Canis lupus familiaris: one gene and its partners. The protein of the gene in region 2 interacts with the protein of the main gene of each other region in a biochemical or structural test. Links are inferred from orthologs where the notes say so. Each region holds a gene or a part of one and is shown on either strand. Other genes may lie near its edges.

Region 1 (5,354 bases), about 45 Mb from region 2:
CCTTTACCCTCTAATTTCCCCCTAGTTTTGTTTTCCCCCTCCCCCATTATTATCCCATCACTGACCCCTGGGTGCAATTCTCGTGGCAGGGCCGACATTCATTGTGAGTGTCTGGGTACTTGTAGATGGGGCCCTTGGCACCGAGGACTCCATTGGGGCAGCTGCTCACACAGTGCGGCCCATCTCGAAAATGGGCACACTGAGCACAGGCATCAGAGCCCTGGGTGGAAGAGAAGGTTGGGAAGAATGGGATCCCAAGGCCAACTTCACCCATCCCAGCAAGGACCAACGCAGCGATTCAGGATGCTCCATCCACAGACCCTAGGGTTATCTGGCCTCCTTGTGCTGGCCTTGTGATTTGGCCATTATCATTCTCAAGACCTTCTAGTACTGCCCATGCTCTTCCTCCCTTAGAGATCCTGGTGTTGCTACTGTACCGAGCCATTGCATGTGGCAGTCCCCTCCATGGGTTGGCACTCCGGGTGGCAGGAGAAGCATTCAGCTTCATGGGCAAACTCACGAGGCTCCCTGCAGTGGGGGGTAAAGGGAAGGGGTCACTTATAAGTCCTGACCTTTATGTCCAACCACAGGGTCCCCTTGCTCGATCCCACCCAGGCATATGCAGAAACTTGTCTAGGGGCGCCTAGGTGATGCAGTCAATTAAGCATCCAACTCTTGGTTTCGAGTCCAGTTAGCTCAGGGTTGTGAGATCAAGCCTCTCATCGGGGCTTGAGTCAGCTTGGGGTTCTCTCTCCCTCTCCCTCTACCCCTCCCCGCCCTCTAAAATAATTATTTTTTAAAAAAGGAAGAAAGTGGACTAAAGGCTTTCAGGTACCAGCTGAATAGCTGCATCCATCCCAGGGCCCCATCCTCCCACCCCTTCGTGCCTCTCTCTCCCCTCAGTGTTACCCATTTAGAAAGTTGCAGTGGGTCACACAGACACCTCCTCGGCTGTAGTTTCGACAGGACAGGCACTGACCAGGACCTGGGCCCCAGCATCCCCCAGAGGAGCACAGGGGATCACACACTTTGCCCTCTGCCACTGGGAAGGAAGGGGTGAGACAGGAGGAGTCAGCTCTCCTCACGTGCCTTCTGCTGAGCTCTTCCTCTTAAGTGCCTCCAGCCTAACACACCCCTCTCCTTGGCTCTACCCTCTGATCCCTACTCCTGAGCAGAACAGTTTTTACACACTGTACCCTCTCCTCCCTGACTTCTTTTTCCCGGCCACCCTCTGGGCCCTTCCCCTCACCGCAGTCTCTGCGGGGCCGATTATGCTTGATGTCCAGCCTCTCTTCTGGAGGCCCCCGAAGCAGCCTGGTCCAGTTCAGAGAATGGTGGTAGCAGAGTTGCTTGTTGGCACTTATGTAAATACGCCCAGCACTAATTTCTTTCAAAGATCGGAGGCCCAAAGATGTTATATTCAAGTTCTTCATGATCAGCAAAGAGAAACCCCGGCTGAGAACAAGGAAACGAGGTAAGAAGGGAGATTACACAGGGGAAAATGACCATGCAGTGGATTCCTTTTCATTTAACCAATGTGCTCTGGGCCAGTCAGACCGGGAAGAGAGATTCCCCTTCCAACTCTCAGCCCTTTGGGCATGCTGAGACAACACGTGTGCTTCACTCAAAGATGCCTAAGAAACAGGGTTCATTGCCTGGAGGTACTACCACCACCACACTCCTAACTACTCACTTGTATAGGCTTCTGCCCCCAATGGTTGTCAGGTTGGAAAAGACACTGAAGTTGTGCATGTGGGGAGGCCAGGACTGGATGTTCAGGTAACCTGACGGGTTGGAGAGAGGCGCGTCAGCGGGGAAGGAGTCTTCCCTTCTTGCCTTCTCAGGTTCTAGTGGCCCCTCTCCCATCACTTGGGACATGACTTTGTAACTAGTTATACACCAATTTGTGTCAGTGGTTCACTCATTTCTCTCAGAAAGGGTAGCAGCCTCTCTTCCCACTCACCTGTGATCTCCCGTACTGTCCGGAAGACATTGAGCTTCTCAGGGTCCAAGGCAGGGATCTTGTGCCAGGGGTCTCTGGAGAGAACAGTCAAAACCAGTCAACAAGATACAGGTACAACCCAGTCACACCTAGCCTCAGAACTTAAGTTTCTTTTTTCTTTCTTTTTTCCTTTTTAAGATTTTATTTATTTATTCATAAGAGACACATAGAGAGAGAGGGGGGCAGAGACACAGGCAGAGGGAGAAGCAGGCTCCCTGCGGGGAGCCCGACGTGAGACTATCCCGGGTCTCCAGGATCACTCCCTGGGCTGAAGGTGGCGCTAAACCACTGAGCCACCCGGGCTGCCCAGAACTTCATTCTAATACCATCCTCCACTAAAAGGAAACAGGGCTCCTTGGAGAAATGAGTAGGGCGGGAGAAATATAACATGAGTTTATAGCATCTTATGCAAAAAAGGAAGTAAGTGCTCAGAGAATGAAGGGTACAAAGAATCTGGGATCTGGCTTGAAGAAGCCCCCAGTGGCCAGAACAGAGACAAATCAACACCAAAATAATAACTGTAAAAGATTATAAAGGACTGAGTGAAATAGGTACCAATCAATCAATCAATGGGAAAGGAAAACTGTTCCTAACACTAAAATGCCGACAAATAAATGCAAAAGGAATAATGGAGTTAAAAAATCATCATGTGGCAACTCTCATCAAAAAATTGATTCAGGGGATGCCTGGGTGGCTCAGCAGTTGGGCCTCTGCCTTTGGCTCAGGGAGTGATCCTGGAGTCCCAGGATGAGACCCACATCGGGCTCCCTGCATGGGGCCTGCTTCTCCCTCTGCCTGTGTCTCTGCCTCTCTCTCTCTGTGTGTCTGATGAATAAATCAATAAATTTTTTTTAAAAATTGATTCAGGGGGCGCCTGAGTGGCTGTTGGCTGAGCATCCAAGTCTTGGTTTTAGCTGGGGTCCTGATCCCAGGGTCATGGGATGGAGCCCCAGGCCAGCTCTGTGCTCAGCGTGGAATCTGCTTGAGATTCTTTCCCCCTTCTTCTCCCTCCCCATGTGCTTCTTCGCCAACTTGCACACCCGCACACGTGCACAAGCGTGCACACGTGTGTGTGTGTGTGTGTATAAATAAAATCTTTCTTAAAGTAAGTTGATTCGGGCAGGGGCACTTGGCTGGCTCAGTAGTGGTGCATGCGACTCGTGGTCTCAGGGTTGAGTTCAAGCCCCACGTTGGGTATAGAGATAACTTAAAGATAAAAATCTTAAGGGGCGCCTGGGTGGCTCAGTCCATTAGGCATTGGACTGATTTCGGCTCAGGTCATGATCTCAGGGTCCTCCACGTGGGGCTGTGCTCCTGACATGGCCCCACTTGGGATTCCCTCTCTCCCTCGCTCTTTTTTAAAGGATTTTTAAAAATTTATTCATGAGAGACACAGAGAGAGAGAGGCAGAGACACAGGCAGAGGGAGAAGCAGGCTCCATGCAGGGAGCCAAGGTGGGACTTGATCCTGAGACTCCAGAATCACGCCCTGGGCCGAAGGCAGGTGCTAAACCGCTGAGCCACCCGGGCGTCCTTCTTCCTCTCTCTCTTACATAAAGGGGTGCCTGGGTGGCTCAGTCAGCTGGCTGTCTGCCTTCACCTCGGGTAACAGTCCCAGGATCCCAGGATCAAGTCTCACATTGGGCTCCCTACTCAGTGGGGGAACCTGCTTTTCCCTCTCCCTCTGTAGCTCCCCCTCCTTGTCTCTATCAAATAAATGGTTAGATAGATAGATAGATGTAATAAAATCTGAAAACAAAAAACAAAAAAAGTAGTAGGAGAACACAATTTCTTTGTCCACTGCCGTGCAGTGAGACAGTTATCAGATTCCTTGGGGGGGGTCTCAAGGGATTCAAGTCCTGGGTGGCAGACAGAGTTAGGAATGGTCAGGTACTGTGTAACCTTTAAAATTTCATGATTTATATTCCTTTTATTTTTTTTATTTTTAATGATTTTTATTTATTTTGAGAGAGAGAGAGAGAGCAAGCAGGGGGAGGAGCAGAGGCAGGGGGAGAGGATCTCAAGGACACTCCACACTAAGCACAGAGCAGGATGCGGGGCTTGATCTCACGACACCTGGATCACGACCTTAGCTGGAACCAAGAGTCAGACGCTTAACCGACTGAGCCACCCAGGTGCCCCTGTGATTCGTATTCCTAATCAGCTGCACATATGAAGGGTTGAGCCAAATGCAATGAACCGTGAGAGGATGGATGGAGTGGGGGTTAGAGAGGGAATGCAGAGTCTAACCCATTGAGGCCAGTGATCAGAAAGTCCAGGTTGCCCAGGATCTTGGTGCAGTTCACAAATCCATCAATGTTGCTCGAGTCCACAGTCTGGAAGCGGCTCCCGGAGCCTGTCCCCTCACAGGCTGCAAACACAAAAGAGGCTCAGTGGGTGGAGCCTGATTGGTCTCTGGGGAAAGGAAGTTCTCTTCACCAGCTCTTCACCATCTCCTACTCACCTTTGGGGCACAGCCCCCCACAAGGTTCACACATCTTGAGTCCATTTTTATCTACTTCCATCTTGTCAGGAGGACAGGCCCGGACACAAGACGTTTGATCGACCACAAAGTTATCTAGGGAGAGGAGGGCACCATGAGAGACAAGAGAGGAACACTGCCAACGAGCAACTGAACCTTGCTCCCTCCTGCTCTGTGCTGGATCTGTCCCAAACCACCACCCAAGGTTCCTTAAACGCTGTCCTATGGCTGAGAAAAGCTCTTTGCTCTTTGTTGCAGAACTAGGAGCAGTTGCTAGAAATCATGGGAAGTAGACAGGACAGTGGGGAGAGGATTCACCGGAGGTGATTAGATTACAACCTACATCCTCTACCACCCAACTTGATCCCTATATCTCCTAAAATTTTTTCTAAAACCCTGGCTCTACTATCATTGTTCCTCTTCTTAGACACTTACGGGGACAGCTGGCTACACAAACTCCACCATACTGATACTTGGTGTGGGGATTGGGTTCCAGCTGGAAAGTTAGCTTGTTGTAGACCAGAGGCTGTGGACACTGGCGCACACAGGCCCCGCTGTCATTGAAGAGTCGGCAGGCCTAGGAACATAGGAAATTCATAAAACTCACATTATGTAAGTATTCCTACTTCCTCCCCAAAGCCCACATCCCCACTTCAGAACCAGGCAAACAGTGGTACATACAAAGCAGTCTGTATCCTGAGGGCCTGAGCAGCCCCCTGCACACTCATCATGGCAGCACTGGTTGGGGTTGGGCCCAAAGCAATGACCATTACACTGAGGGGCACAGATGGTCTTGGTCACTATAGAAAGAAGAAGCACTGCAGTCAGGGCTCTGACTCTTGCCCTCTAGTCTAGGCTTGTCCTACCCCCG
Region 2 (5,902 bases):
ACCCTCCCCTCACTCAGCCATGGCCAGGTTGGCTAGACAAACCATGGAGCTGAAGGTGAAAGGCCCCAGCAGGACAGCTGACTAAGAACACAGGAAGACAACTCTAGAGGAAGAGGGAAATGAAAGGGGAGGCTCTCAGTGAGCCCATCCATAGGCAATGGATCCACTAATCCAGAGGTTACAGGTGTCTAACTGTTCTGTATAGATCAATGTTTTTGTGATTTGTCCCACATAACCCACCACCTAGGCCCACATATACACAGGCAGTCCAAAGAATGTTGTTTGTGAGACTCGTGCTTTGTGAATAATCTTGGGAGCATGTTTAAAATATATCATCTGGCCTCCAGGTCAGAACTGGCTCTTCTGTTCTGGATGCCAAGAGCTACAAATCTTGTGTCACATCTCCTCCTGCTCCAGGATGGGCTGAGGCAGACACACATAGCCTCGGCTCCTTGAAAATATAAAAACATGATACCATGGAAATGCAGCTCGCTCCAAACTGCACGGAGGTGAACAAATGTTTAATTTCAAATTCTGTTATCTGCCCTATAAGTACAGCCCTTATGGGGATGGTCAGCTGGAAGTCTCACCTGAGAGAGGACACTCTGTCCAGGCCTCTCAATCGGGGCTCAGCCTGGCTGTTTCCATGGGGCTTCCCCAGCTATGAGTCTGGATATTGTAAGGACCTGATCTGGTGTACCTTTGCCTTATTCTTTTTTTTTTTTTTAAAGAGATTTTCTTTATTTATTCATGAGACACACACAGAGAGAGAGAGAGAGAGAAAGAGAGACATAGGCAGAGGGAGAAGCAGGCTCCCCACAAGAGGCCTGATGTAGAACTCAATCCTGGGAACCCAGGATCATGCCCTGAGCCGAAGGCAGGTGCTCAACCACTGAGCGACCCAGGCATCCCTGCCTTATTTTCATTTCTTGCCTACTGTTACCTTCATCTGTGTATAGATTCCTTTCCTCTTCTGTTTCTATTAGGTTTCTATAATAACAATAAACTTTTTATTTATTTTTTTTTTTTGCCTTTTCGAAACTAAAACACAATTGCTGTGAATCTTTTGTACAGAACACGGACCTGAACTTGTTCCTTAAATGGGAGCCTGGTAGGGGTGGGGTGGGAGGCCAACAGGAGGGTGGGCTGCCTCTTGGTTCTAGGGTCCCAAGAGGTAGGGATGAGGATGGGATGAGGATGGGATGAGGATGGGATGAGGGTGGGAGTGCAACCTATCAGCTGCTCAAGGAAGAGTCTGGTATTTACGGTGTGCCTGCTGTATACCTAAGCCCTGACAGCCTTACCTCCTTCCAAGTTGAAGGGACACCAGCTATCCACTGCCAGGAAGGCTTTTCTAATTCCTTTTCTACTTCCTCGATGCCCCCAGCCCAGCACAGTGCCTGGCATACAGCAGGTGCTCAATAAATAGTTCTTGCCGAATGAACCACCTACAGCCCTATGAAAGAGGTAAATTCCTACCCCCATGGCAAAAATGAGGACATTGAGGCTCAGAGAAGGTCAAGGCGGGACCGATACTGGAGTCCACTGGGCCCAGCCTCCCAGGAGGCCAAGCATGGGACATACCTGGAGTTGAGAAGTCCCTCTGTCCCTCCTCCCTGCTCAGTGGTGACACTGTTGGGGGCTTAGAAGGATGGTTCAGACCAGCACAAGACAGGCCCAGGGCTTCCAGAGCTCTAGGACTCTTTCCTTATGTAGGACCACCAGACACCTTTAGGCATCTGAGCTACCTCTGCCCTCAGACTGCCCCATCAGCTGCCCCCAGGAAAGCCCAGTAAACCTGCCATGAGCAGGTATCTCTCACTGCCTGTCTTTCTCTACAGCCATTGATTCAACATCAAATTCTCAAACTTGAAAGGATTTGGTTCAAAGAGAGAGGAACATGTTGTCTGGCGGCGGCGGGGGTGGGGGTGGCTTAAAAAGAGGACAGAGGATCCCACTTCTCAAAGGGAAGTCCCTTAGAACTGGAGTCAGCTGTATACTTAGGGGGTCTACAGAGTTTGCCAAGAGCTGAAGCCAGCAGGGCTTGTCAGGGGCATTAACCTGGACCCAAAGAGTCACAGTGACTCCCTGGTGCTGGTCCATCACCCAGATCACCCAGGCCAAGGCCTGAGCCAGCCACAGTTGGATTCAAACAAGAAAGTGGGCTGATTTTTCACCGAGGAGAGAGGGATACAGAGGAATGCCCCACTCAGATCCAGCCTGGCCTTGACTTGTCCTCCAATTCCCCATGGCTTAAAGCTTTGAGGGCTTCCCCACTTTGGGAGAGCAGACAAAAAAAAACATATGACTGGGAAAACCCGAAGGGAGTCCTTGATGTAAGCCACCCACCAGGCCTGCTTTTCCAGAACTCCTCTATCCCTGGGGACAGCTTCACTCACTCCACCTCCCAAAAAAAGGAGACTAGAAATCCTCCCTACTAATTCCTCCTCAGCAGGTCTGAAGGGTGACGAGCTGGGCTACTCCAGCGGATCCCCGGGGCTGGATTAGAATCCAGGCTGCCCTCTTAGCTATGTGACCTCTAACGGGTGACCTTACGTCTCTGAGCCTTCCTTCTCTTGAGATAAGATGACAATCATCCCTCAAGGAATTTACATTCGCAATAGGTTCTCAGCAAGTGCAGCTTATTAACGTGCAGGATGGGTCCCAGACTGCAGGTGCCCCAGGAGACTTACTGCAGCGGCGCACCAGCCAGGAAGGGAGCGCCGAGGCCGCAGCAAAGATTTAAAGAAGCTTCTGTAAAGAACCTTCTCCAGTGGAGGGAAGGGCAGGCTCAGCCTGCATCCGGGGAAACTCTAAGTGTCTGAACAAGAGCCACCGGTGCCTGGCCAGCAGCACCCGGGAGCCCGGCCTCCTGCGTGCGCAGGGGTGAGCGCCCGCCGTGCCTCCCGCCTCTAATGCTCCCCAACGCACCCAGGTCCTCCCCCAGTTCTGCATCTGCTCCGGCTGGCCCCGCGGGTCCCTCCGATGTGCCCCCCCACCCCGCCCCGCCTCCTGAGGCACCTGCCTCCCTAGAGCCCGGTTCACATCCAGGCGAACCCCCCACCCCGATGCCTTCCAGCCGGGCAAGGCCCGAGCCCTTGCCCGCCTGGACCCGGACCCTCTGCGGAGGCCACGGCCCTCCTGCTCCCCGACTGCCACCGGGGTCCTCTCCCTGCGGCCTCCCCCCATCTCAGTCCCCCCGGGGGGCCGCAGAGGGTGTGCAGCCCCTTCGGGTGGCGGCTGGGGCGCAGACCAAGGGGAGGCTGCAGGATCCAGGCGCCCCTGCCCAGCCCTGGGGCAGGCCCCTGCGTCCCCGGCCCTGCAGAGAGGGCGTCCCGCTCTGCTGACGCCGCCTTCCAGCGCAGGGCCTCGGGCTGCTGAGCTACCCTGGCAGCCTCTCCCGGCTCCTGCAACACCAGGCGTCCCCCACCCCTTCTCCCCTCCCGACCCTTCCTGCCATTGAGCTTAGAGGCCTCAGTCCACCACCACAGAGTTTCAGCCAGCTGTCTGCCCTCTCCTGGAAACCTGCGAGGGCCAGGCCTGCTTCCAGCATCTTTGGTCACCTCATGTATTTTGAGATTGTCTACATATCAGGTGCTCAATTAATACCTGCTCTCTGAATGGCTGAATCAGAGAATTGATGCTTTAATAAATCAGTCAACCCAGAGTTGGTCAGGTTTGTCCTCTGGCAAATGTGCTGAGTCTCCTGCACTAGCCATGAGTGCCGCACCACACTACAAGCATCCTGTGGTAAAACATTTGTTCCTTGGTCCATTCAAGATCGCACTGAGAAGGTAAACATTTTGTAGAGCACACCTCACAGCCAGAAATCCAAATGCCTCTCCACAGTGTCTGGATGGAGAATTGCTTGGCACCACAGCTTCCAGTCCTGCGTTGGCTGGCCACACCACCTGGCTTAGATATGGGACTTGCTCTTCAACAACTGTTTCTGTTTATCGCTGTGTTTTCTGAGGTTCTTTTCTTGATACTTTTGCCACCAAGACTTCCCACTCATAATAAAAACATTATACGTCGTGTTTGCCGGAGGATGTCTAAAATAAAAAGACACAAAACCATATTTTTTTGGTTTTCTGTCCATATTTTTGGACAGGAATTCCTACTGTCTACTCATTGGCTGGTGATATAGGGGGCTGTTTCTGAGGGATGAGCATTCTACTTCCCATCAGGGAGGTCTGTCATGTGTGAAATTTATTTTGCCTCTGGGCACCAGAAAGCCTCTGGGAAACTCCTTTCCTCTACTTTCTGATAACACAGGCTCTCCACAGATTGCCTCTGTGGGACGGAAGCACAGTCTTGACCACTTCTGATACCTCCAAGAGGCACAGAAGGGAAGTGACAAATCTGATTAGATAAGCCCCAGTAAGAACTGTGAAGTGGGTCAATCTTATTTCCAGAAGCTCTTTAAATCTTCCATCTCTAACTCCTGCCACATTCTAGGCTCCCCTTTCACTTCAGGGACCCAGTTCTGTCTCAGAGGAGGAAGCAGGATGTGAGGTGGTCCTGGCTAGCCTGAATGAGTTACCAGTCCCAGGAATCTTGGTGTTTAAAGAACTCCTTTAGGGAAAGCAATGTCACTCTTGTGGGCAAATTTAAGTACTGTTACCTCCAAGTTGGGTGGGGCGGGACACTTCACCCTCCCATGCCACACCACAGCCGCCTTTCCCTGTGGACAGGCCAAATACACAATGCGGTATTAGGGAGGACCCGAGGGGCCTTGGGAAGCTGCTTTTCCCTGTGATTAAGCAGTGTGTCTCAAGAGATACAGATGGAGGCACATAATTTCAAGGTGCTATTACTGCAAATGTTTAATCTTGTAAGCCATTTACTTTCTAGTGCCTACCCATGGTTGTGGCCACTGTGCCAGAGCCCTCTCATGGCTAGGTGGGGTGGGGTGGGGTGGATATTTGATATATTTAATAAGTGCTACAGACAGACAGTAGTCAAATAAAGTAGCTACTGTCAGAGCAGAGCCCTGGAGGGCCACTGCTGGGCCAGGCATTAACCCTTCATTTGCAGGATCCTGGGGAAGACTGGGAAGTCTGTGGGAGGTCCTGGGAAGGACCAGTGGAGGGATCTTTCAATATTCTAACAACCAATACTGCTGACCCATTGTGAACAGGCCAAATAGCCCTGAGCTCGTCTCCTCCACAGCCTCATCCCACCCTGCCCTCATATTTTTATTTTCCAATCTTTCAGCCAGAGGCTGTACCATCTCCTCATTTAGTGGCCCTCAGTGTGGAAATAGGTGTAGCCTAACCTAAGGTCTTTAGAGGCAAGCAGGGTCCAAGCCATACCCAGCTACGCATCAAAACCACCAAGGCAGGGCAACCCCAGTGGTTTAGCGCTGCCTTCGGCCTGGGATGTGTGATCCTGGAAACCGGGGATCGAGTCCCATGTCGGGCTCCCTGCATGGAGCCTGCTTCTCCCTCTGCCTGTGTCTCTGCCTCTCTCTCTGTGTCTGTCATAAATGAATAAAAAATCTTAAAAAAAAAAAAAAAACCACCAAGACAATGCTTAAAAATTCATAGCCTGGGCCATTGTACTTTATGACTACACAACCAGGCTTAGATGTCCCTGCCTTCCTCCTAACTCCAGGATTAGCAAGAAGCTCTGGGGCTCCATTGTCACAAATACCCATGAATTCTTTGAAGCAAATGGGAGCTAAGAGCCACTCACAATGGCCGTTTCCTCCTGATGCACGTGGTCAATGCCAGCAGCAACAACGTTGTGACCACGAGGATTCCCGCCACCGAGGCAGCGGCAAGGATGATGTTCCTCTGGAGAAAGTGCAGAAGCTGTGTACATGGCACATTCTTATCTTGAGTATCTAGATGAAAAGACACATGGCAAAGTAAACAGAAAGAGACAGCCCTTGATAGAT
Region 3 (6,144 bases), on a different chromosome or scaffold from region 2:
CACCACGAATCCCCCTCCCTCCGCCTTTTGGCCTTCCCCCCACAGGTCCCAGACTTATCTTCCCCCTGCTCCTCCACATTTCCCAGCAGTGCCCCCAGCCCCATCAGCCCCAGGTACCTTTCTCCTTCTTGTAGCCCCCTTGGCACCGGGCACAGCCTCACACACCAGACTGATGGCCTCCCTGGAGAGAAAGGGGTCCTCAGACCCACAGCCTGCCTCCCACTCAGCTGGGGCTGCCACAGGGCAGGGGGAGGGGAAGACCAGGCCAGACTTCAGGGGCACTCCAGGCTCTTTGTCATGGTGGATTGAATTAAAGGCCTTTAATATTTGATGACACGGAGAGGCCACTTCCTGGCTGATTGGGTTAGGGCCTCTGTGAGTCTGGCCCCACCTACTTCCAGCGACCAAATGTCCCATTCCATCCCAAAGGCAGCAGCAATCTTCCATCCACCCCATTTTATACTCAGGCTCCAGCTGCCAGCTGCCTCTGCCACCTCTCCCACCATACACAGGACTGGATAAATAAGAAGGTCCCAGACCAGAGAGGTGCTGCTTTTCATTCAGACTTAGACTGATTCCCCTAACTTTCTCTCAATCCTTTATCCCTGAAGGTAAGCCATCACTAGCAAGTGACCAAGACCCACTCCCTCCTATACTCACTGATCCAGGAGCCCACTCCCCTATGTACCCCCTCTCCCCTCATTAATTCAGGAATCCCCAGTCTGCCCCCTCCCCACTAACCTGGTGACTTGGGTGCGGGTGTTGAAGTCCAAGGCACGCATTGACTGCAGGACCTCCACACAGCCCATGTACTGAAAGGAGGAAAGGAAGGTAACGAGTCAGCACCCCCTCCACAAAAAGAGTCCCAGGCCTTTCCCCTGAGTGCTTCCTACACTTGATCTTAGCCAAAAGGCTGACTCTGAAGAGTGAAGACCAAGTTTTGCCCACAGCCTGCGGCTACACCCACAATGTGCCAGACCACAGGAAATGAGGGGCGGAGGATCGAGCAAGCCAGGAGGGCCTGGACATCTGGGAAGAGGATCTCGAGGACAGTGATGGGCACTGGGGTGGGGGGTGGGGAAGGTGACATCCCCAGAGGGAGGAGGCTGGAGGATACAATCAGGACCGCTCATTCCCACACTTACTAAGGGTGGCAACGTGCTGGGCTTTGTGCTAAGCATGGCAGGGTGGGGGAGTCACCAGAAGTAAGGGGCCCAGGCAGAGCTGGATGGGAGGGGCCGCAGAATAAGAAAGGGGAAGAGAGAGGTGTGAGAAGCGATCCTGAAACCAAGGGAGGTACCGGCAAGAGCAGAAAACGAGAGGCTCCCAGCTCGGCAAAGCTGGAGTGAGCAGAGGAAGGAGTCTGGGAGGGAGCAGGGAGGACCGAATGGGAGACATTCACTCACCCGAACCAAGTAGGAAACCCCAGGTCCCATGACTTTGTCGTTGGGATGTAGCCAGCCCCGTGTGGGCTTATTGACGAAGCTCCCGTGGCGGGTCCACTCCTCGCCCCCCAGCTGGCCCCCTTCCACCCGCGTCCTGCGCCCGCCTCCTCCACTCAGCTTGTTCATGTCCTGGAGGAGGGGCAGGGGGGCTGAGTCCAGCACGGCGGCCCCTCCAGTCCCCTCCCCATCCTTAGAGGCCCTTCCTGGCTCCCCAGCTGGGTTAGCCAGCTTCAGGTTGCTCATCCGGGGGAAGAAGGAGCACAGGGTAGTGGGACTCTCATCCCCAGGCAGAGGTGGCAGGATGGGCCCCAGGGAGGAGGCCGATGGGGAAGGTAGTTCCTCCGGTGGGGTGGACCCTGAAGCCCCTTCCTCCAGCGATGACAGAGACTCATTCCGAAGTGGATTGTACTTGGGCTTGGGGGGCAGGAGATCCATGGCTGCAGTGAGAGGGAGGCTGCTGCCCAGCCTGGCCCCCCTGCCAGTCAGGGCAAGGGGGCCAGGCAAGGGGCATCCCCAGGCCTTTAGTCTGCTCGGATTCTATGGCCCAGGGATCTCAAGGATCCTGGGGAGGGAGAGTGACAAGTGGCACCAGCGGCCCCAGGCTCAGACCCAGATAGTTTCAGGCCCCATCCCCCGCCCAGCGTGGAGCCTCTTCCCAGGCGGAGAAGAGAACAGGCTGGACCAGAAGCAGCCTGGCTCCTCCCCAGGGGCGGGGAGGGAAGGCCAGAGACCAATCCCGAGGACAGTGCTGACTCACAGGCTCCAAGGGGCTAAGCCCCCACAGCAGCCCCAGCCTAGAACTCTGGCAGGGATAAAGCTCTCGGTGCCCCCACCCTGCCCCGAGACAAACCACCAGTAATCTGGGGAGGAGTAAAGTGGAGTGGGAAGGAAGGATGTGGGAAAGAGAAGGAAAGGAGGGAAATAAGAAGAGGTCTGGATCCATCCACACAGGACATGGGCAGGCCACAGGGAGCAGGAAGCTGCGGGAGGGTAGGGGGACCGGGACAGGAAACAGAGGGAGCTGGGAGTGGAAAGGAGGGGACCCCTGAGCTCAGCACTTCTGTTCCTGTCCTGCTGGAATGCCCCCCCTCCTCCAGCCCTATCACACCGTGGGGTGGTGGCTCTGGGGAGCCTGGGCCATTAGCGCCCTCTGCTACCACAGCTGGGAACAGGTGGTGAAGGGAAGAGGAAAGCATCCAAGTGGTCCCAGTGGACGCAGGGAAGGCCCAAGAGGAAGCACGAAGCTGGAGAAGTAACGGGAACAAAGTCCAACCTGGGTGGTGCACCAGGGAACCTTCAGGCAGGAACTGGAGCCTGGGACGGGCTGATGGAGTCCTGCCCTCCATGGCTGGCACCTACCATGCCAGGGGCAGCAGCCCACAGCCAAGCACTCTTCTGTACCCCATCCCACAGGTCTAGTTAGCAAAGCAGGCTGTCACGGGCAATTCGGTGACAGGGTACTGACACAGGGGTCGGCTTCCTGGGTCACATAGGTGACAGGGCACTGACACAAGGGTTGGCTTCCTGGTCCTGCCAGGCATGTTCATACTCCTTCTCTTAAGTGGAGAAGGTTAGGTGTGCCCAGGGAGCACAGTGCACCCAACACCAGGGGTAGAGTCTCACTGGAGGAGGTGGGAGAGTACAACAGTTCTCCAAGAGAAGTGGGGAGAGGAAAGGACAGGCCATGAAAGCACAGAGGGAGAGGAAGACAAATCTGAGCCGGGGTGCCAGGGACGGGCTGGGGCCCATCCCTTCTGCACAGCTTCCAGCTCCACTAGAGGGGACCTTGAAGGAAGAGGCAAAGTCACCAAAAAAGCACTAGAGATAAATACAACCTCTATGCTCACCTTGGAATTACCTATTCTTAAACTGCAGAAGATACAAAGATGCAAACTAGTAGCTAATAATACTAACACTCAAATCGTGTTAGATACTGTGCTCAACTCTCTCCCCTGGCCTTTAGCTCTCTGGCCTAAAGGGATGGAGGAAAGGCTTCTACCCTGGCCTCTGCAGCCCCTGCACACAGGCCAGGACGTCCTCCCCTGCCGGCGTCTGCACAATCCAGAAGCGAGGACCCGCCCACAGGTGTGGGCCTTAGGAAGGAAAGAAGGAGGAAGTCGGGCTCTTTAAATTTGCATAGGAAAGGAGATGGCCTACAGGGAGTCAGTGTGGCTGGGTGTGTGGGGAGGAGCTGCTCCAGGCTTCTCAGCCCAGCGGGGAGGAGGAGGCAAGTAGCAGGAAATGGCGAAAGCCTCAGGAATGTTTCCAGAAGGGAAGGCTGGGCAAGCGGGACCAGGAGGAATGCCCAGACAAGAGCTCTGCTTGGGGGGGAGGGGAAGAGCCCAAGAAGCGGCGGGGGCTGGGGAGTCCCTTCCAAAAAACTAAACAAACAAAAAAACTCAAACAGCAAAAAGGCCACTGTCCCCTCCACCCACGCCAGGCCACCGTTTCCAGGCAGCAGGACACTCTAGCTCCTGGTGCACCCGCAGGTTGCACGCCAACCTCACGGCCCTACCAGCTCCCGAGGTGCGGGTGCTAGCCCTACAGCTGTCTCTGGGGCGGAGTCTGTCCTGGGCTGGGAACCCAGGAGCAAGTCTCTCGGCCCCTTTGGCGCCAAACCCCAAGTCCAGGCCCCTCTCCGCGGGGCAGGGGGAGGGGCAAGGGAGGCGGAGGGCGGCCCCTGACCTCGCCCGGCTCGCCCCACCTGCTGGAGCAGAAGCACTGGCTCCGCAGAGCTGAGCCCCAAGCCCAAGGAGAAGAGAAGCTGTGTCAGCAAGGGGCTTCGGGACTACCACAGCGCTCCGAGGGGCGGAGCCCGCCCCACTCTGGACGCTGCCCAGGGGGAATGGGCCCCACATCACGGGTACCGGGCACTGTAAGAGGCGAGGCTACAGCACCGCCCGACGCCATCAGGCGGGGGGCGGGGCCTCTCGGAAGGCGTAGCCTCTGGGGCGGGGCTGCCGGCACTCGGCCGGGCCTCGGAGGGGCGGGGCTCTGGCCTCCTGGGGGACCCGTCGCCAGAAGGCGAAGAATCGGAACTCAGAGAACTACCGTCAGGTTTCTCACAGTCGGACTTGGAAGCATGTTCGGGGGTGGGACTTCCAGGAAAGCTGGGCAGCAGGGTGGGGTCGTGGACAATACACAGAAAACAAGTCGGGGTTCGGGGAGCCCCCTGAAGATGGGGGTGGGACTTCCGGGGAGGGGGGTCTCAGGGGGCGGGACTTGCACATGAAGACCGGAAGTAGGGTCCCGGGAGAGGGGTTCCGGGGTGGAGGAATGGGTCACCTTAGGAGAGGGAGAAGACCTAACTCACCAGGGCCTCATGGAGTCTCCGCACCGCACCGCGGCTCGATTTGGTTCCGGATCACGCCACTGCCTCCTTAGGTCGCCGTTCCAACTTTCTCCCCGGCCTGGCCTCCCTGAAGAAACTTTATTGCACTCACTTCCGGCCTCACTAACCCCTGACCCTCTACCTCAGCGTCCCTCCTTCAGCCGTCCCACTTTGCCGAATCAGCCAATGGCAATGCGAGAACGCGCACGGGGGCAGGAATAGCCAATTAGAGGCATATTTTTTCCCTACGCTCATTCTTGACTAACGTAAGCAGCGCGGTCCAATAAGGACTCGAACAGAAGCAAATCTAAACCAATCGGCGGCTTGAAGGTGGAGTAGTCCCGCCTTAAACCATGGGGTCCAATAGGAAGCGCGGGCGGCGTGTTTGAAAGCTAGGCCAAAGTGGGTGGGAGCGCGTGCTGCTGGGAGTTGTTTGGAGGTTGCCGGAGTGGGCCTGACGGTCCTCAGGCTGAGTGATCATGTCGCACAAACAGATTTACTATTCGGACAAATACGACGACGAGGAGTTCGAGTACCGGTTAGTGCCGCCGCGGGGGCCATAACGAGGTCGTGAACTTTGACAAGTGAGGGCAAGAGGAGTTAGTCACCGGGGCTGAAGCAACAGGACCGGCGCATGCGCGGGGGACTCCCGGGGCGCGGGCGCGGAGCGTAGCAGGGCGCCTGCGCGAGGGCCTGGCGGCGAGAGGGCGCGGACAGCTGCGGACCGCAGTGTGTCCCGCGCCGGGGAGCGGGCGGAGGGGGCGTGCCTAGAGCTCGAGGCCTCCGCACCCCGCACCATGCGGGGTTCTGGATCGTTCTGGGAGCTTCCCCGGGCACGTGGAGGTTGCCCGCTGGGGCGTGCTGGAAAGAAGTGGCCGCAGCGGTGCTGAACGATCCGGGAAAGGGGGCGCGGGCGTGCGGCTCGTGGGAAGGTCTGACCCGGCGACGCAGCGCCGCAGGCTCGGGAGTTGCGCCCGGGCACGGTGTGACGGAGGCAGCGCCGCCCCTCCAGGAGGAGTACCAGGGAAGAGCGAGGATGCTGCCCGCGTGCCGTTTTGGCTTCTTCCTGGAAGAACGTGGGATGGAGACTTGGCAGGCTTGCGTTTCCTTCCCGGCCAAGTGCGGGGCTCCGGGGACTCGGCGTGTGCTGACCCTTGGGGGACCCAGGCCACTTAGGTTTCTTTCCGCCGCTGACTGTGCGCTGCCACCTCTGCAGAGCTAGTTTCAGCTCCCCGAAGTTGTAAGTCCGGGCGCTGGCGTTGGGGGGCGTCGGTCGGGTCCGATTAGGGATCGAAGACGCTGTTTGTGAAAGAATTTGCTACTAGTACACACCTACTGTGTTTTCCCTGAGCATGATGGGGTCTATCT
Region 4 (5,860 bases), on a different chromosome or scaffold from region 2:
GGTAGTTCATTCTCAGGCTGCGTCAGAAGGTGCAGTCTCGGGGCACACACACTGCACCCCAAAGTGACAATAAGTTAGGGGGGAGATTCTCAGACTGTTCTCTGGCTGGAGTCAGGGTGGGGTGCCAAGTGGGGGCCCCCCAGAGCCCTGCCAGTTGCCCAGCTGGGTGCTCCCAGGACAGGCTGGTTCCAGGACAGGCATAGCCTCTCCCTGAAACAACAGGGCAGGGAGAGGAAAGGGATGTGACGTCAGGAGGTCAGTGGGCTCAGAGGGATCCCCAAAGGAGTCGGAGGATGGGCTGACGGGCAGGGCGGGGCAGGCAGGACCTCTCACCGGACCCTCAGTTAAGCCCCTGCAGATTCTCATAATCTGGAGCTCCCTCTTCTTCTTCGTCATCGTCATCATCATCATCATCATTGTCCTCCACCTCCTGGGAGCTCAGGATGGCTGGGAGGGGAGGGAGGTCTTCGGCTCTCAGACCATCCCCCCTTCCCCAGATGGGCTCCCCAGGCTTGGAACCCAGGCTGGGGGTGGTTGCCCCACCCCCACCCCCCACCCCACCCTACCCCTGGCCAGCACACACCAGGGTCGGTCCCAGCCAAGGACGGCAGCTCCTGAGACACATTCACATACTCCCGGCTCCCATCTGCAGGGACGGATGAGAAAGGAGGCGGCCACGTGGAGGGTGAGAGAGCAGGACACTCAGAGAGGGGGTCACAGCAGGGTGAGGGAGGGAAGGGGGATTCCAGGGAGCCCCCCCCCCCCCCCCCCCCCCCGCCACTCACCCAGAGATGCATTTGCACTTTCCTTGCTCTCAGGGACGTTCACATAATCCTCCCCCGACTCCACTGTAGGAGAAGCAGGGCCCCCGGCACCGTCACCCAGAGGGCCGAGCACAGGCACCCACGGCATCCCCACTGGACTCCTGACAAGACCAGCCCCAAACTCCCACCCACAGACCTCAGAGGTCACCCCATAGCCAGCCCTGGGGGGGTCCCACAGAGGCCTGGGTGATGGAGAGAAGTAGGGTAACTTGGCCAGAACCGATGAGAAGGAGAGGAATTGTGGGAGAGAATGGACGGCAGACCCTGCCAGCATGTGCCCCAGGCTGGGGGTGAGGCTGGAGAACGGCTCAGAGCTGAGGCACCGGTGCCGCCGGCCAGGCCAGCCCTGCACCCCCAATCTCGTCCCAGTGCCCTCCAGGCCCTGGCGCTCGGCACCGTCTTGCCCTTTCATGCCGACTTGCTCCTCCACGAGGCCGTGGACAAGGCGGGCTCTGGAGCCAGAGCGCCCAGGTTCACGCCCGGCGCCAGCGCTCACAGTCGTGCAACCTCACAAGAGGTCCCTAACCTCTCTGGGCCTCGCTGTTCCCCCCAGTGTAAGAGGGTGAGCAGCAGCACCCCCTCCCAGGGGTGTCATGAGAACTAACGCAGAGAATATGGAAACAGGGCCTGTCCTACGGCAAGTGCCGCCGAGGGCCCGTTAAATAAATAACCCCTCGTGTCGTACAGTCGGGACAACCGAGGCGCAGGATGGGGAGACGTGGGCTCAACAGCACCTGGGAACCGTGACGTTTAATAAGTTAGTGCACCAGACACTCAGGAGGCAGGGAGTAGGCTCCCGACAACACTAGGCCTCATCCTGACGCCGCCTCTTGAGCTGTTTGATCAGAGGCGCCCAGTAAATATGGTGAAGGAGGGAAGGACAGGGGATGAACAAATGAAGGAAAAGAAGCCCTGGCACAGATGGCGAGTTGGCGATTGAGTTGGCAAATGGCACCGGATGGGCCGAACAGGTTTGGAGAATGAGGACAGGGCTGGAAAGCTAAGCTCGCCAGGCGCGGGAGGAAGCCTCCAACAGGCAGCGTGAGACCCACGCGAAGGGAGAAAAGCAGCTCAGAGGAAACCGAAACGATGCCGGAAGCAGAAGAAAACTTCCCAAAGCCCCTGCCGAAGAAGACAACCTATAAGATTTACAAGATGATGTGGCCTCCATGAGAAAGGAACAGAGGCCAAGAGAGAGCCTCCGGGTGGGAGAGACCGAAGAACAGAGGCCAGAAGAAGAGTGAATCAGAGAAAGGTCGCAAACAATAAAAGGGAAAGACCACGAAGAAGGAAAGAGGATGGGAAGGAAAGGAAATCAGGAGGTCGGAGTGGAAGTGCACCCTGAGGGACAGGCGTCCTAGAGAGAGGAGAGACTGCGGAGGGGCGGCCACAGGGACAGTCGCCCGGGAACTCACTGGAGAAGGCGCTGTCTCGGAGGCTGGGGTTGCTGGGCACCGGAGCCGGTGGGACCGCAGTGCCGGTGGCTGGCGTGCTGTCAGGAAGCACCTCCCTGAGGGGGAGTCGAGGGGCGGTGAGTGAGGACCCCCCTCCGGCCAGGGTCCCCACCAGCCCGCCCACCAGGCCACTCACAAGTAGCCCTCGTTGTGATACTCCTCCTCCTCGTCCTCGTCGTTGTCCTCGCAGGAGAGGTGCTCTGGGGTAACGACACAGCGATCAGGGCGCAGGCCAGGCCCCAGCCTCCCTGCAACCAGGGCCCCCGGGGCCCCAGACGCACCCTCGTTCTCGTAGCTCGCCACACTGTTGGCTTCGGAGAGAGAGCAAGAGGGAGACAGTCAGCTCAGAGGGGGTCTCGCCTCTGCCCAGCCCCAGCCGTCTGAGCCCGGCTCCACACTTACCACCATCTGAGTCCTGCCGGGAAGATGGCATGCGGTGGGAGCCCCCGGGGGGCTGTGGGGACCTCCTGGGAGTCAAAGGTCACAGGTTATGCTGGGGTGGGGCTCTGGGACAAGCGGATTGTCACAGGGAAGGGGACCCCCAATCTACAGAGGTGAGCCGGGTAAAGAGGGCGTTGTGAAGGGGGAGGATGCTACTTACGGGATGGGAAGCAGGTCCGGCTGGCTCAAGGGTGGGTAAGAGGTAACAGGCCCATAGGATGGGGCCGATGGCCAGGGCACAACTGTAGCTGAGGACACAGGACCAAGCACAAGGAGTGACTCCAGACATCTTGCCCCTACTCTCATTGAGGCCTCAAAGGATAGACTAGCCCCATGAAACCTCCTGTGCCCTGGACAGGCCCGAGGACACCCATCTCCCTCCCTAGTCCCAGATCAGGTCAAAGCCATGTGGGCAGCCACGGTGGAGGGAAGGCAGGAGGGGGGACCTGAACAAAGGCACACAATCTCTCATGCGCCAGGGACCCTCTCTCCTACACCCAAGGGAGGGGACCCTCCAGGTACTCACGAGGTCTTTTGATCACAATGCTACTTGGGGTCAAGCTGGCAAGAGAGACAGAGCTTGGTCAGGGGCAGGAGAGGCCCCAGCTCCCATCCCAGCCCCCAGGGTCACACAGGGTAGTGAGGGAGCCACACAGGGCCCATGGACAACTCACCTATCAGAGGCGGTGCTGTCATAAGAGCCTGGGGAAGAGAAGTCAGTGAGGCAGGAAGAGGGGTGGCGAGGGGAGAGGGTGGGAGCGCAGGGCTCTCAGGTCTCACACACGCAGGACAGAGGTAGGATAGAGCAAGGGGGTCAAGGAGGGCCGAAGATCCCCGAAGGCATGTCCTGAGAGCGGTGTTACCCGGCAGCCCGCACTCACCTGGCAGCTCTCGGCAGCGCACGCACAGCACTACGGCCAAGAGGGGCAGCAACAGGAGGCCCAGCATATAGGGGATCAGGACGACGGCCTCCATCTGCAGCAGAGCTTGGACCAGGCCTGGCTGCCTGCCGCCCAGCACGCTGAGCTGCGGCAGGGTGTGAGCTGGGCCAGCACGGGTGCGGGAACCCAGTGGGCACCAGCCTGGAAGCCTGACTGCGGGCCGGCTGTGCCCTCCTTGGGCACTCCTTGGACCCCCTGCCCCTTGCCGGGCCTCGCAGGGGTCGGCACTGCCTAGGGAAGACCCGTGATCCCAGGGCAGACCGACCAGGGTCTGGGCCGGAGTCTGGGGCGCCAGTCACCCCTGAGCGGCCCCCGCGCCCCAGCCCTACCTGCCCCTCGGCTAGGCGCCTGCCTCTCAGAGCCTGCCCGCCTGTGGCAGGAAGCTGTGGTGAGCCCCGGGTGAGGGCAGGAAATCATCGGGCTCAGCCGGCTGCCCCCGCCCCCTTCCCACCCCCACCCAGCCAGCGGGGAGGGGGAGGAAGAGGCCTTTGGAGCCACCCCTGGGTCCTCAGGAGGGGTCTGCTGGCCTCCGGGACAAAGAGCTATTCCTACCAGGGAAGGAGGGCAAGATAGTTACAGGCCACCCGACAGCCATGGCGTCCACAGCCAGGACTCAAGGGGGCAGCCAGGAGGGAGGCCCGGACGCTGGGAATCAAGGGGCACGGGGCAGTACCCACCCTACCTTACCCTGGCTGGCCTACCAAGAGGGGCAGGCTCGAGGGGAACCATGGGCGTGACTCACAGTCACACTGAGCTACTTCACTCCGCACTCTTTTTCACCCGGCCCAGGAGGGCAGGGATTTGCCCAAGGTCCCACACAAGTGACCCCATAGCCCCAGGAGTCCTGGGGCCAGAGTAGGGGCATCCCCTGCAGACAACCAGAGGTCAGTAACACCCACAGAGACTCAGGCAGGCACTCAGGGTCTGGCTACAAATTTTATTCAGTTACAAATAGCACCGAGCCCCTGGGGCTGCTCCAGGGGAGGGGAGTCCCCCTCCCAGACCCCCCAGAACCTCCCCACCCTGCCCTTGGCTGCTGCCTGTGTAGTGTGTGGGAGCCGGAACATGGCCCACAGCCACTCCTAGAAGCCAGGCCAGGCCGAGGGTTTGCGCCTGGGCACCTTCTGGGGTGGGCCTGGGGCCAGCTGCGGTACGTATGCAGGTTGGTGTGCGATGGTCCCTCAGATAAGCACACTGGACACAGGGACCCGGGTGGAGCGGCCTCGCTGGGGTACCACAATTCGGTCATCTGCAGGTCCAGCCTCACGCAGCAGACCTGCCGAGGGAGGGGTCAGAGCCAGGGCTGGATAAACAAAAAGACACAAAAACAGGGAGGGGACAGAAAGGCAGTGGAAAGTGGACAGGGCCAGCAGACCCACCAGAGCCATGAGCACAGTGGGATATCAGTTCGTTGGCCAGGCAGACCCAAAGCCGAATGAGGGAAGGGCTGTGGGCTCAGGGAAGCCAGGGACACGGGCTGGGACAGATGGACAAGCAGGCAGTATCCTGAAGTCGGCAAGGAGCCACGGGCGGACAAAGGGAAGGCCCCACTGACCCTGCACGTGCAGCTGGGCCCGCCGGCGGTCGCCCTCGATGAAGATGGCAGTGCCCAAGAAGGCTGCCCCACCCAGGGCCCCCACGAAGGCGCAGAGCATCAGCGAGAACTGCAGGGCACGGAACTCGGACAAGAAGGAGGGGGGCCAGCTCCGGCGGAGGCGGTCGGAGATCTGCAGAGAGACGAGTAAAGCAGTGCCAGGAGAATGAGCCACAGAGAGGGAGCCCCTGGACTCCAGAAGGACAGAGGTGTCAGGAGCCGGCAATGAGGGGCAGTCTGGAGGACTGGGGAAGGTCTTGTGGCCCCACTGTTCAAGGTGCAAACAAAACCCTGGATGCCCGGCTGAAGGTCCAAGGTGAGGGGTACCTAGCACACAACACACAAACACCCAACTGGGGTCAAACCTTCTATGTCGGCCCAAGCTCAGGCCGCTGCCTGCTGGCAGGTGCCAGGAATTCAGTGTCCCCGAGCCCCACCCCAGGCCCAGCTGAGGGGCAGTGCTCACCAGGCCGATGAGGTAGGGGCTCCCAGCATCACCCAGCAGGTGGGACAGCACAATCTGGAAGGCCTCAGCAGTGGAACGTCGTGTGGGGATCACCACGTACTGGGGAGAGGAGGGGCAGGGGGCAGAGGGCAAAGACAGGG
Region 5 (5,354 bases), on a different chromosome or scaffold from region 2:
TGACTTGGAAGTCCATGGTTGAAAGAGATGTCAGGGACTCTACTAATTTATCCTATGTCTCTAACCTGGTTCTATTTCTGTGCATTGATTTTATCTTCTTCTGTTATAGACTGGTTTCCTGCCTATGGCAAGTTGAGGAGGGTAGAGACATGGTATCTGACATGATTCACTACCAAATAGCTGCTTTGAAATCTGTTACCTCCTTCATTTTAGAAATTTTAAAATTTTAAATTAAGATAATGTAACCTAAACCAAGACACAAGGTCAGCTCAGTGTCTGCTGTCCTCACCACTCAAGTCAGTGTTTAACACAGATTAGGCACTAAATAAATGGTTGTTGACATCCTGTTGCATAAGCATGTAAATGAATGCAGATTTTTCAACTTTAGAACTCTCTAGCTCTGGACCCTAGAGACCTACCAGTTTGTAAAGATGAAGCTTGATGAAACATTATTATCATCATTGGTTAAAAGTCTCCACATACCTGTTATCTTAGCAAGTTATCAGTTTTAACCAGGTAACTTCTAAGCTCCCTTCTGATGTTCTATTAATAAACTTATGAAAATGAAGGTGCAAGATATTTTTGGCCACTCAGAAAACTTGCAGATTAACTAGAGAAGCCAAAAATTTTTGTGGTTAATAAAATTTGTGGAATAATAACAGAGCCCCAAAGGGGAAAACTTGAAGAACAACAACCAAATGCCTGGTTTTGTTGTGCTGAACACCTACTACTGTCTGCTAAGTAGGATGAGTAAGCTGAAGGAAAGAGCTGTATTGCTTCAAAGGATTTATAAAGCCTTTTTAGGAATGACAATGAGAAGGGCTTTATGGTAGAGTTGTCAGGGGATAAAAGAGATAGAAGAAAGGCATCTAATAGGAAAGTCTGGTCACATTTTTCTATGTATATGCATTGCTCTTTCATCTTTGCTGGAAGACTTGGATAAAATCGACATCACTTGGAAATGCTTTTGGAGTTGTGGGAGTTGCAGGGGAGGTGGAATGTGGGTGTTGGGATGTGATGAACTTACATCCAGCTATATTTGACACCAAAGCCTTATCTCTAAATTTAAAATGATTACTTGTGGTATTAACAGCTTAAATTTGCTTTAAAACAAAAATATAATAGGATGGACTAAACAAAGTCAATAGTTTTAAGAACACAAAAGTAAAGCAAAAGGTAAATTAATTTTAATCCTAGGAAGTTATCGCATCATGCATTTATCTTTTCATAAAAAAGTACACAAATATGCCCCCAGCAAAAAAAAAGAAACAAATAAGAAAGGATGAACTAGTTTTAAGCCTCTTAAATTATTGCTGCCAAGAAAGTGAAATTTGGAAATTTTCAAATCATATATATAAAACTGATGATTGCCTCTGACTAACAACAAAGGTTTAGCTATTAAAAAATCAGTTTTATGTGATATCAAAAACTATTACTGTTTCAGTGTTTTTAATCTTGCCTCAAATTATTTCTGTAGCTATGCAAACTACTGTACTTTGAAATGAATATTTCAAAATACACATTTTTTAAATGAATCATTACAGTGCACTACTAGACTTCAAGTGTGAACAGTATTACTCATGCTTACAAACATTGAAGAAGAATAAATAAATTATGATATATTTGACAGTCTTCATTTCAAACACTTTTTTATATGAAAGGTCAAAACCTTGTGTTCATGTTGAGGGGTTTGATTCAGTCCTAAGTGTTTGTCCGTTCACCAAGGTTGATTGATCTTCCCATGCTGGCAACAGAGGCAGGAGCAAGGTTCATTTGCTTGCCTAACTCGCTAGGGATAACCTGCAGAATGTGTTAATGTGCACTGGTATCTGGAGCCTCGGTTTTTCCCATCAATGAGCAGAAGTGGCATTTTCCTGAAGTAGTCTATAATATCTGACACAGACAAAAAGTCCTGAAAAATTCAAAATAAGGAGATAAATCAACATTGGGATGAGTAGCATGAATTTAACCCTCAGGTTTTTTTCGTTTTTTTGTTTTGTTTTGTTTTGTTTTTTACCTGCATTATATCCTACCTCTACAAGTTATGAGGATGGTAAGAAAAAATATTTAATACTTCGCAAATATTTTAATGATTTCTGCTGTAGAATTTTGAAAAAATAATTCATCAACAGCAACAAATTATGGATAAAGACTATATATATGTGTGTGTATTTGCCTTAGGATTACTCTGTGTTTTTTATTTTGGTTTCTGTATCCCTACTTCACTCTTAGTCACAAATAGTGTGATGAGGTATAAGAAATCAGGAAGTCAGTGTCCCAGTGTCTAGAGCTGATATCCATAGCATTGCACAATGGTTCCCTCATGATCCCTCTGCTATGTCTTCAGTGCCACCTGACATTCACAAAGTCTCTGCAGCCAAGTCTTTGCAACCATTGCCTTCATCATCTTATCCCTAATGGCCAGACTGGAAAAAAAAAAATGCATCCCTCTAGACATAGATCAAAATCACATAGGTACCCCAGGAAGGATATGCACTTCCTCCAAAACTACTCTGCTGGCGCCTCTTTCAAGGGCAGCTGCAATGTATGGTTTCTACTTATGTTTCTCACACCAGACCAACAGAAGTTCTAGAGGGCAGACATCTCTGTCTCTATAGCAGCTTTGCAGCTCTATCCACACTGAACCAGCGATTGAAACATCTGATCAGAATCATGTGGGGTTTTTTTTCCTGTTCATTTACATAATCATAACTTAAAAATATTTGGAGTGAAGTAGAAATTAAGAGTTATCTGGTTTTCATTCTGGAAATGTTTGATTCAGCTGATCTTCCTCCTGGAACTTTGAACTTAAAAAATATGTTTGGAGCCTAAGTTTAGCTGTTAGTTTCCTTTGCAAAAGCAGCTTTTTTGATTGCCATCCAAAAAGTAATTAGCATAAACATTGGCTAAACAGAGGAAAAATTCCCTGGCAGATTGGCCACCTTCATTGGCCAAACCTCTTTTTTAAGTGAAAAAGGACTCAAGTATTTAAATAATCACCACAACAAGAATTCTGGGTTTGCTTTTGTTTCTTTACCCTTTTCTAAATGTCAATACAGCCTTATAAGTACACTTCAATCTTACATTAAAATTATGTTACAGAGGTGAATGATAGAAATGACTTACCTTTGACACTATCAGTTTTTAAATTCAAATATTATTTTTTTTAATTTATAAGTTATACGTGTGATTTTAGACTACTTGGAATAAAAGACATAAGAAAGACTCCATGGCACAGGTAGCTACTGTCATTTTGTTTTATTTCCTTCCAGTAAAGGAAGGACTTCACCAATGAAATTTAACTCTAACAGTGCCATACAGTATGGATCCCCAAAGAATATTACAGTAAGGTTCCATATTGACAGGTATGTGAAATGGCATAAACAGAGGATTTGAGGAAATTTTGCAACTGAAATTTCTTACCTCTTTCCCCCGGAGTCCAGTTCCCAACAAGTAAACTTGGCTTTCCTCTTGATAACGGATCTGGATGTTATAAACTTTATCCTTGTACAACACCATGAGGACATACGGATTAGTTATTGTTTTTTTAGAGCTGTCTCTAACCAGAAAAGTGCCATCCTAAAAGAATAAATTCATGTTATTATGTGAGCAGCAAATGTCAATACTTCCTTTTTAATTGTTTTTTAAACCTATTTATTTTAGAGAGAGAAAGCACATGAGTGTGCATGCATGAGTAAGAGGAGGAGCAGAGGGAGAAGCAGAGAGAATCCTCAAGCAGACTCCCTGCTGATCACAGAGCCCAACACAGGGCTCATCCCAGGACCCTGAGATCATGACCAGAGCTGAAATCAAGAGTGGGCATAACTGACTGAGCCACCCAGGTGCCTCAGTAAATATCACCGTCTGTGTTGCCTGTAAGAGCAGTAGACAAGCCTCTAAAGATCTAGAAACGTAACCAGTTGACAAGTCAGTGAACATTTAGTTCCCTGAACGGTTACAGTCCCATGTGCCATGGATTTGGTTGTCAAGAGGCAGCAAAGATTGTATTAGAGAAATTTCCAAATTTCAGAGACCTCTTTGAAGTCCCTTGATGAAAGATACATCGTTTTTTCAGTAGTAATAAGACAAATAATAAGTGGTTGAGTGGATAAAGGGCCAGACAAAATAAGGACTTTATTGGTTAACTAAGTATCTGTTTTCCTACTCCTGGGAGCTAATTCCCTAATCCTTTCTTTCATAGCCAAAGTCAGAAAACACACAAATGCCTATGAAATTCATCCATTTAAAAACCTCGTGATCTCCATGTAAAACATTCATCATTAAACCACCTGACCAAAAAAAGAAAACAAAACAAAACAAAACAAAAACAAAAAAAACACCTGACCATAAATAAATGTGGACCATCTTGCATTCTTAACCATTTTTTTCTGTTTACTAAAATAGTGTTGTGATTTGTCCTGTACTTTAAAATGTTATTCCATAAATTATTGCTATATAACATTAATATTACAAAGATCTAATATTAAAATAGGATTAATTAGTAAGGCAGCTTTAAACTACTCCCTCGTTTGTGTATTAAATCATGATGGTTTTAAATAGCCATCAATCTGCAATAATGGCTTTCCTTTGTTCTTTTTATTTCAATTGAGTAAATTCCATTCAGAACATCTTCTATTCAACAAATATAACTGTGGACCCATTCTCAGTCAGAATTTAGAATTTAGAGTTTTGAAGACTCCCAGAACCCACACAAAACACCTAACTAACTAAATCAGAATCCCTCCAGGTGAAACCCAGGAATCAGAATTTTTAAGATCCCCAGGTGATTTAAATGTGCATCTAAGATTGAGAACTATTCTTGTAGACTCAAGACTTGAGAGATGAAGGATCTTTGTTTTTCTTTCTCTGATATATAGATTTAAGGTTATGGTTCTTACCAGACCACAGGAGATCTGGTTAAACTAGAAATTTCTAGGGGAAAGGGCATGAAGTTTCTGCTGTCTCTCTCCATATGGACCCCTTCACATCAGTGTAGATGACAATTGTGTATTAAAAATGAAGATAGAATCAGTAAGATGTTCAAAGTTTGGGGGAAAGAGTCTCCTTTTGATAAGGCTATGCTTCCTATGACAAGACAGACCTTTCTAGTTAATAAAGTCTTCTCAGATTCTGCCAACTGAATGACTGCCTTAACTTAGATTTTTCCCAGATCCTAGGAATCATTGCTATGGATGCTGGTAGGTATAAAGCTGTCACTAATGGGTCCCCCTAGTATAACAGCATGAATATCACCTAGCAGAATTCCTAGCCCATAAGTGGTCCTCAATAAAAGCCAGTTCCCTTTTTCTCCTTCCATCAATATTTATAACTACTTAAAAATAAACTTTAGCACA

What was found.
Region 1: the proteins of ZAP70 (region 2) and ERBB3 form a complex in vitro, tested with the Homo sapiens proteins (2 studies listed by BioGRID and IntAct, with this or other methods). The link is inferred for Canis lupus familiaris from reciprocal best matches to the Homo sapiens genes ZAP70 and ERBB3.
Region 3: of the proteins of ZAP70 (region 2) and SHC1, one has a biochemical effect on the other in vitro, tested with the Homo sapiens proteins (2 studies listed by BioGRID, with this or other methods). The link is inferred for Canis lupus familiaris from reciprocal best matches to the Homo sapiens genes ZAP70 and SHC1.
Region 4: of the proteins of ZAP70 (region 2) and LAT, one has a biochemical effect on the other in vitro, tested with the Homo sapiens proteins (2 studies listed by BioGRID). The link is inferred for Canis lupus familiaris from reciprocal best matches to the Homo sapiens genes ZAP70 and LAT.
Region 5: of the proteins of ZAP70 (region 2) and LCP2, one has a biochemical effect on the other in vitro, tested with the Homo sapiens proteins (2 studies listed by BioGRID). The link is inferred for Canis lupus familiaris from reciprocal best matches to the Homo sapiens genes ZAP70 and LCP2.

The regions. Positions count from the first base shown.
Region 1 is NC_049231.1:764,309-769,662, reverse strand, and holds part of ERBB3 (receptor tyrosine-protein kinase erbB-3), read right to left. Parts: intron 5,284-5,354; coding exon 5,165-5,283; intron 5,061-5,164; coding exon 4,919-5,060; intron 4,580-4,918; coding exon 4,466-4,579; intron 4,373-4,465; coding exon 4,252-4,372; intron 2,038-4,251; coding exon 1,964-2,037; intron 1,785-1,963; coding exon 1,694-1,784; intron 1,456-1,693; coding exon 1,250-1,455; intron 1,043-1,249; coding exon 910-1,042; intron 529-909; coding exon 438-528; intron 221-437; coding exon 66-220; intron 1-65. UniProt on the Homo sapiens protein: Tyrosine-protein kinase that plays an essential role as cell surface receptor for neuregulins.
Region 2 is NC_049231.1:45,972,218-45,978,119, forward strand, and holds the start of ZAP70 (tyrosine-protein kinase ZAP-70), read right to left. Parts: upstream 3,749-5,902; 5' UTR 3,610-3,748; intron 1-3,609. Other genes in the region: C10H2orf92 (uncharacterized protein C2orf92 homolog), read right to left, coding at 3,917-4,052, 5,698-5,848. UniProt on the Homo sapiens protein: Tyrosine kinase that plays an essential role in regulation of the adaptive immune response. Regulates motility, adhesion and cytokine expression of mature T-cells, as well as thymocyte development.
Region 3 is NC_049228.1:42,485,949-42,492,092, reverse strand, and holds the start of SHC1 (SHC-transforming protein 1), read right to left. Parts: upstream 3,539-6,144; 5' UTR 1,881-3,538; coding exon 1,407-1,880; intron 813-1,406; coding exon 742-812; intron 182-741; coding exon 118-181; intron 1-117. Other genes in the region: CKS1B (cyclin-dependent kinases regulatory subunit 1), read left to right, coding at 5,256-5,314. UniProt on the Homo sapiens protein: Signaling adapter that couples activated growth factor receptors to signaling pathways. Participates in a signaling cascade initiated by activated KIT and KITLG/SCF.
Region 4 is NC_049227.1:18,622,575-18,628,434, reverse strand, and holds the start of LAT (linker for activation of T-cells family member 1), read right to left. Parts: upstream 4,054-5,860; 5' UTR 3,695-4,053; coding exon 3,601-3,694; intron 3,422-3,600; coding exon 3,394-3,421; intron 3,281-3,393; coding exon 3,246-3,280; intron 2,968-3,245; coding exon 2,880-2,967; intron 2,746-2,879; coding exon 2,681-2,745; intron 2,590-2,680; coding exon 2,415-2,589; intron 2,335-2,414; coding exon 2,240-2,334; intron 849-2,239; coding exon 786-848; intron 647-785; coding exon 584-646; intron 448-583; coding exon 341-447; 3' UTR 339-340; exon of another isoform or gene 334-338; intron 211-333; 3' UTR 1-210. Other genes in the region: SPNS1 (protein spinster homolog 1), read right to left, coding at 4,842-4,936, 5,216-5,387, 5,721-5,819. UniProt on the Homo sapiens protein: Required for TCR (T-cell antigen receptor)- and pre-TCR-mediated signaling, both in mature T-cells and during their development.
Region 5 is NC_049225.1:42,543,308-42,548,661, reverse strand, and holds the end of LCP2 (lymphocyte cytosolic protein 2), read right to left. Parts: intron 3,580-5,354; coding exon 3,424-3,579; intron 1,913-3,423; coding exon 1,790-1,912; 3' UTR 1,166-1,789; downstream 1-1,165. UniProt on the Homo sapiens protein: Adapter protein primarily involved in signaling pathways within T-cells, as well as other immune cells such as platelets, mast cells, and natural killer (NK) cells.